Tribolium castaneum: one gene and its partner. The protein of the gene in region 2 interacts with the protein of the main gene of each other region in a biochemical or structural test. Links are inferred from orthologs where the notes say so. Each region holds a gene or a part of one and is shown on either strand. Other genes may lie near its edges.

What was found. The genes of interacting proteins can lie anywhere in the genome.
Region 1: the proteins of Fs(2)Ket (region 2) and Kap-alpha3 form a complex in vitro, tested with the Homo sapiens proteins (2 studies listed by BioGRID and IntAct, with this or other methods). The link is inferred for Tribolium castaneum from reciprocal best matches to the Homo sapiens genes KPNB1 and KPNA4.

The regions. Positions count from the first base shown.
Region 1 is NC_087398.1:4,899,635-4,903,301, forward strand, and holds the start of Kap-alpha3 (importin subunit alpha-4), read right to left. Parts: upstream 2,855-3,667; 5' UTR 2,476-2,854; coding exon 2,413-2,475; intron 2,319-2,412; coding exon 1,620-2,318; intron 67-1,619; coding exon 1-66. Other genes in the region: endonuclease/exonuclease/phosphatase family domain-containing protein 1, read right to left, coding at 3,245-3,522. UniProt on the Homo sapiens protein: Functions in nuclear protein import as an adapter protein for nuclear receptor KPNB1. Binds specifically and directly to substrates containing either a simple or bipartite NLS motif.
Region 2 is NC_087398.1:2,426,944-2,430,698, reverse strand, and holds part of Fs(2)Ket (importin subunit beta-1), read left to right. Parts: coding exon 1-352; intron 353-486; coding exon 487-1,264; intron 1,265-1,492; coding exon of another isoform or gene 1,493-1,493; exon of another isoform or gene 1,494-3,473; intron 3,474-3,626; coding exon 3,627-3,734; intron 3,735-3,755. Other genes in the region: CarT (carcinine transporter), read left to right, coding at 3,708-3,734.

The DNA.
Region 1 (3,667 bases), about 2.5 Mb from region 2:
CATTTGAATTTGTTCGTTGCCGCCGTCGGTGAGGTAACTTAATGCCCAGACCGTGTCGACTAAAATCTGGAAGAGCAATTTTTTTTTAAATGCTACAGCCGAAAATCCAAATATCGTTTTGTATGTGTCCCAGAAAAATTTAATATCGATAAATAAAAAAAATAACGAGAACTTTGCAAGGTTTCTAATGTCATTTATATTATTCCCCAGTGATGTTTTATCCTAAATAAAATGCGAATTTGTCAAATAGAATTTTTCGGTAAAGATGCACTTTTGTGAGGTCATTAAAATTCCTTTTTCGGCTTGTATTTATATGCATTGTATTTTTTAAAATACAAAAGAATAAACAAATAAAAGAATGATTCAGAATCAAATAAAAAAATCACCTCCATAATATTGCACAAAAAAATAAAATAAATGAGAGTGCCTCACAAAATGAAGTCAACTTGAAATTTTTTATAGTATTTTACCAAAATTTACGATTACACATTTATTTTCCACAACGTGAATTCTATGATTTTTTAAATAAAAGCCAACATGCCACAATTACATAAAACAACAAAGGTAAGGAATCTGTTATAATTAATAAAAAATCTTAATAGTATTATGTACATAAATATTTTCACGTTTCATTAAAAAGTACAAAAAACAAACCGCAAATAAATTAACCACACTGTTTGTTATTGCTGCCACTACACCACATAACAAAAATCCATTTTTAATTGTTTATGTTAAGTAGCTTCCAATGTCTTCATATTTTTTTATTTATTATTTATGCAACATTCCTGACAATGTTATCTAAGGACTGACGAATCAAGCCTACGAAAATTATCAAGGCTTATTTTGCCTTTGAAATTTGTCGCCAAAGAGACTAAAAATCTACTTTCAGACGAGAAGGACATGGAAAAGTTTTAAAATAAAATTCCAACGTCTAAAAAATTTCAAACTTTCAGTTTCTGTTACTGACACTGAAACCAGGGTTTTTCTTTCAATTATTTATAGAACCCTTCTATACAAGTGAGAATAAATGTTAATTATCCCAGAATGTTTTGACAGCATCTCAAACAAATATTTTATTTGTAAAATTGTCTTTCTTGATATCTCGTAATTCTTGATTCTTGATAACGTTTTTGTGACTATGTGACCATCGGTAAGAATAATTTAAATGTAAAGAAAATATTTCTTGTTTAATTTAACTTCATATTCTATAAACAACCCCGGTTTGAGTCACAAAAACCTGAGTCACACCTCCTAATAAGTGAAAACAATTATAGCTGACCTACTTCTGAACTTTTAATTAATGAAAATTTTATGAATGATTCTGCCAACGTAAAATTTGTTTATAGAGCCAAAGTACTGTTTTGTTTATTACGTCGTAATCAATACTAACAAAACAACCGAAAATAATGATGAAGACGTATTTTTGCAAATCATTAAAATGGACAAAGAATAAATTGCGACCTTGACACCAATCTCGCACCGTTGAATCCAACATTTTTAAAACTCAGACGTCATTAAAGGTGAACTTTTTTTTTTCTTCCCTTTTTTATATTTTTTTCACACGTAACGCAAAGTATGAGACTGCTCACCTTTGTGACTCTTTTCTGGTACATACTCACATTGGTATCTGTGTGGTGAATAAGCGCATTCAAGGCGGGTAACAACTCCCTAATAGTCTGTATAGGCGGCGGGGGATCCTTGTTCCTACACAAATTAACAATAACCCAGGTGACGTTCCTCAAGAACGAAATCGGAACGTCGGGTTTAATGAACGAGAGAAGTGGATTAACAACACCGAGCTCGATAACATAGTCTCTTAACTGCGGCCCATCGCCGATGATATTCCCCAGGGCCCAAACGGCCTGTTCACAGACGTTCTGCTGGGGCGAGTGCAGCAGCTTCAGGAAGAGGGGCACGGCCCCCGCTTGCACCACCCTGTTGGTCTGCGCGGACGTGCCCGAGGCGATGTTCGTGAGCGCCCAGGCGGCCTCAAACTGCAACGAGGGCTCGTCATACCGTTCGAGACACATCACCAGGACCGGCAGGATCCCGCTGGAGATGAGGGCGTCGATCGGGGGGTTCCTGTCTGAAGACAGCAACTTCCGCGCGGTTTGGATCGCCATCAGCTGCAGCGGGGGGTTGTCGATAGCGGCCGCTTGCGCCACCAGTTCTTCCAAGTTCGTGGTGGAGAGCGACTTCTCGATGTCGTCCTCGTCGGTGGAGTCCACCACGGGGACATTGCGGCGCTTCTGGAGGGTCTCCTCGCGCTTGTTCTTGCGCAATTCCACGGTGACCTCGTTGCGCCGTCTTCGCATTTCCTGGGGGCACACGGGGCGGTCAGAAGGGGCGCACCGGACGGGTGTTTCGGGAGTAAGGGAGCCGGTGGGGCGCAAGGAAGGGCGGGGTACTTACATCTTGGTCTTTTCCCTTGTTCTTGAAATTCTGGATGCGATTCTTGTAACCTGTATCCGCCATTTTGATAGATTTGACAATGGAGGGCTGATGAAAACACGAGGAAAAGCCGGGTGGCGCTCTTAAAACGTAAAAGACTCGATTTGGCGTTATGATAACATGAAAAATGAAGGGGGAAACGTTCGGACGCGATTATCACAAAATTACCGACTGATTTAACGTAATTTGGGTATTTTTTTCATACCCATTTGCTACAAAGATCGGTTGCACAGGTTGCGCGCACGGTGGCAAACACAACGGAAGGACAGCTGATCGGGAAAATTAACACAATCTAAACCTTATTAACATTAAAACCACAACTTTTCACTGTAGGCTCAAAATCAAGCCAAATTTATTGTTTCAATGGACACTACACCTTTATTTGCAATAATTTCGGCAAAACTTTCAGTTTTTAAAGTTGGCACGCTGATGTCAAGGTCACACTTTTCACGTGCGGTGCTTACGCACTCGATTGTTTGTTGGACCGAACTTGTGATAAATAAAACTCACTGTTAATAAAATAATATTTATTAAATAATTACAAATACAAGACTAAGTTGTTACAGTACAGGGAGTACGAAATCGGGGCCCTTTATTGCAAAATTCGCCCGCTAATTTTTTTGAAAATTTCTGAACAAAAACACAATTTCAAAATAAAATCATCTGTGCCCCCACATATTTGTCTTTAAAGCTTAGAAATAAAACCGTCCGACACACAGCCATAAATTTGTAAAATTTACGTGAAGTATACCCAGTCAAAAATAAATAAAATTAAATACAAAATAAGATAATATCACAACGCCGTCCCAGAATTGGGGTTTAGAAACAATTCCATCCAGACGGGGCAAAAAGGAGACGCCGGTCCGCCCCAATTCCACCCATTGGGAATGGCCAAATGGGTCAAACCTTGCTGTACCACCCCATTAATACCCGTAACTTGCCCTTGGATTTTGTTGTTACATAAAATATTTGATATGTGTTGTGGTTTTAAACCCAACTTCGATCGCAAATAACTCGTGTTCATCGAACTCGGAAAGGCTGCTTGGAGACCCCCGATTGTCAACCAGTCGTCTGCAAACACGCCCACTGTCATTCACAGCCTCCTTGATAGATAGAGAACTTCGTTTTTTACGGCTTGTCGCTAACTTCGCATTGCATGCCTAATTTCACTACTATCAGAATTGACAATTATATTTGACGTAAGATGTCGCCCTCT
Region 2 (3,755 bases):
ATTCAGCGGCTTTTGGAGACTACGGACCGTCCAGACGGCGCTCAAGCTAATCTCAGACCGGCAGCCTACGAGGCTTTGATGGAAATGGTGAAGAATTCACCGAAAGATTGCTACGTCACCGTACAAAAGACAACAATGGTGATTCTTGAACGTTTGCAACAAGTTTTACAAATGGAAACACACATTACGAGCCACAATGATAGGTCACAGTTTAATGATCTCCAGTCGTTGTTGTGCGGAACACTTCAGTCGGTTTTGAGGAAAGTTACACCAGAGGACGCGCCGCAAATATCCGACGCCATCATGACTGCTATGCTGACCATGTTCAACTCGAATTCGTGCAAAAGTGGAGGTAATTCACCAGCCAAATGCGCCTTCAAATAAAATCTTTCGCTTACACTTTACAGTGAATTGTATTAAAGATTTTAGTTTGAAGGCGTATTATAAAAAATTATAAGTACGGGAATTAAACGTTGTTTGTGTTAGGTGTACAAGAGGACGCACTGATGGCAGTGTCAACCCTGGTGGAAGTCCTCGGTGAAGGTTTCATCAAATACATGGACGCGTTCAAGCCGTTTCTTTACATCGGCCTTAAAAACCACCAAGAGTACCAAGTTTGTGGTACCGCAGTCGGTCTAACCGGTGACATTTTCCGCGCTCTCAAACTAAAAGCTCTTCCTTATTGCGACGAAATCATGACTCTTCTGCTCGAAAATCTCGGCGATCAATCGGTCCACCGTAGCGTCAAGCCACAGATTCTTTCAGTGTTCGGCGATATCGTCCTAAGTATCGGCCCCGAATTCAAAAAATACCTCGATGTTGTTCTCACAACACTAGCGCAGGCGTCGCAGGCACAAGTCGATAGAGATGATTTCGATATGGTCGATTATTTGAACGAATTACGCGAAGGTGTACTTGATGCTTACACGGGCATTGTACAGGGTTTAAAAGGCGATGGCCCGACACCTAATCCCGACGTTTTGATTCTCGAACCGCACATTCCTTTCATCGTTCAATTTATAACCGTGGTGGCACAAGACACGTTCAATTCTGATGCCACGGTTGCGGTGGCTGCCGGATTGGTGGGGGATCTCTGTACGGCTTTTGGAGCACCACTTTTACAACTCCTGGATTTGGAGCCGATCAACGAGATGTTGGCGAAAGGCAGACGAAGTGGAACTAATCGTACTAGAACTTTGGCCACTTGGGCTACGAAGGAGTTGCGCAAGTTGAAGGCTAATTCGACGGCCGCTGTAGCTAGTTGGTAAGTGGGAGTGGACAGTTTCAGCAGATCCAATTGGCAAAAAATCGTTACAAATAATATAAAACAGACATTATTAAAATTATAGCTGGGATTTTTTTAAAATTAAAATAAAGTTAGTTGTGGTGGGTCGGTTGGATCTGCTGCGTTTGAGACTTGGCGTTGGACTGTATGTGTCTCGCGAAAATCGGTGTGCTGAGCGAAGTTTGACAGTGCTTTCGATGGTTTCAGATTTTCTTTGGCATGTTGTGGTTTAACAGAAGGAAATCTAACGAAGGTGTGGTCAACGGCATCGATATTGGATTCGCATTATACATAAAACCAAAATTCTTGCAGACTTTAGTTTTCGTTTTGGCTGAGTCGGACCAGTTTTGCTCATCTCTCGGTTGAGTAAAGCTGGTCAGCTAGTTTGACATGGTATTGTTCCCCAATACTTTCGGTTTTCGGGGTGCAGAGTGAGTGCTGATGCATATGGACTCTTGATAAACTGTGAGTGCTAATCGTAGCTGTGAACGCTTGTGAATAGTGTCTGAATCTTCGCCTGGTTTCGTGAAAGGCGGTTTAGCTCAAGACTGAAGAGTGAAGTGGTGTCTCCTCTATCACTTGTTGCGTCTTTTACGTTCGTCTTCACTTTAGTGTTGTACTTGATTACAATAAAAGCATTTGTCTATTTCACATATCGAATTAATCATAAGTAGTTATTTTTATAATGGTCTTTGGTGAAGAAATTACCTATGCACTGCAGTCAGACAGAAGTAATCTTAAAATCCTGATTTATTATTGCTTCTTTGTTTCGCTGAAGTTGTGTGTAATTTCATTGCGGAAAAAAGCAAAACACGCTCTGGTGCTTCTTTAGATTTTGCGAATTTATATTAACTTTTCTCTTAAAAAGCAAAAGACTGCGATAATCAAAAACTGTCCAGAGGAGCGTGTTTCGGTTTTTCCCTGGTTGATTTTTTTGAAACAATTTCCAATTCACTGAATTCATACTCAGGAAATTTGAGAATAATAAATCTTGTGACTGGTATTTTTTATGAAAGATTTTTGTGAGGCCTGATTGTGCCTTGCGTGGGTGGTGTATGAAAATTTTCGAGTTTTTCGTATAAGTCGACACGCTGATTAAATATACGAAAGTGCTTGAAAGGGAGGGTGGGTATCGCAACAAAGTAAAAAAGAATCTGTGATTTGAGAAGGTTTCTGTAGTTGCCAAAACACGAAAAAGATACATTCAAATTCCATTAGTTTTTTAAATGCGTATAACGAAACCTTCTCAATGTTTTCGTAATTATAATTCTAGAATTATAATTATAAATTCCTTGTATGTGTGATATTTTTCCGTGGGCAATATTGAAATAAACCAATTTTTGTGTTTATTTTTATCACTAGTCCATTAAGCGACCTTCGTTGTTTTGGAAGGTACATTAGCGATGGGTTATTTTAACTATTGCCCACGTCTGGGTTCAAAGGCTGTATGAAATCACTTGTATAGTATGTAAGTAGTGTGGTTGTATATTTTGTATGTACGAAGTATGAAGAATTTTATTATGAAGTAGTGTAAGAATTTCTACTGGCCTAAATTATTTATTGAAGCTTCTAACTGTTTTATGCACACCGAGATATTTAATTTTAAAAAGCTCATTTTTATGGTTTTGTGAACCAGCCAAAGTGTGATTTTAATCCATGATCTTTTTAAAATTATTTCGAATTCTACGAATGTTCATGTGCAAAAAGGTTGCGTTACAATTAATTGGAAGGGTTTTGAGTGGAAATGTTTATGGTTGCATATTTTATTGGTTGAATGTTTTGTTTTGATTGTGCCATGTTGATTGTTAATCTGTAATCACCCCAAACGCGCCGATGTTTGACAATATGGTTTTCTGTGTGTTCTGAAGACTGAATTTATTAATTAAATAGCCTAGTAAAGCTCAAATGCCGTATGAAAGTTGACGCAAAATGCGGCTTATTCCAAACTTGGTATTGTCGAACACCGGTTACTTTTCTTCTTTTCCCTTAAAAATGTTACCATGTCTAGGGTGCCTATTGACCAATTCATCAAAATTGTATTAGATTTTAATTTTGTTAAGTTAAATTCCCTGCACGCCTTTTCAGTTAGGATATTTCACTTTTTAAATTCCCTCCCAAACGCTTGGGATCACTCCCGCAGAATTGGGATTTTTGTAGTTGTACGGATAATAAATGTTTCCTTTCTTTACACCCTGTTTTCTTTCACCCAGCCGCAGCAAAATTTCGCAAAATTCGACCAAAGGTAAGACTTTTCGAATAAATCCAGGGTTGTGTCTGTGTTCGTGTTGCATCGCCCCAACTGACTCTCACCGTAATTTATATGATTAGTGATTGATTTCAGGCAAGCGGGAAATAATCTCATAAACCTCACTCCTAAGTCTTCACTTATAAACCCAGCAATGGTCACTCAGTGTTGCGCAAAATGGATCAAAATGAACAAAACCATAGCGTAAGTACCACTTTCGCACCC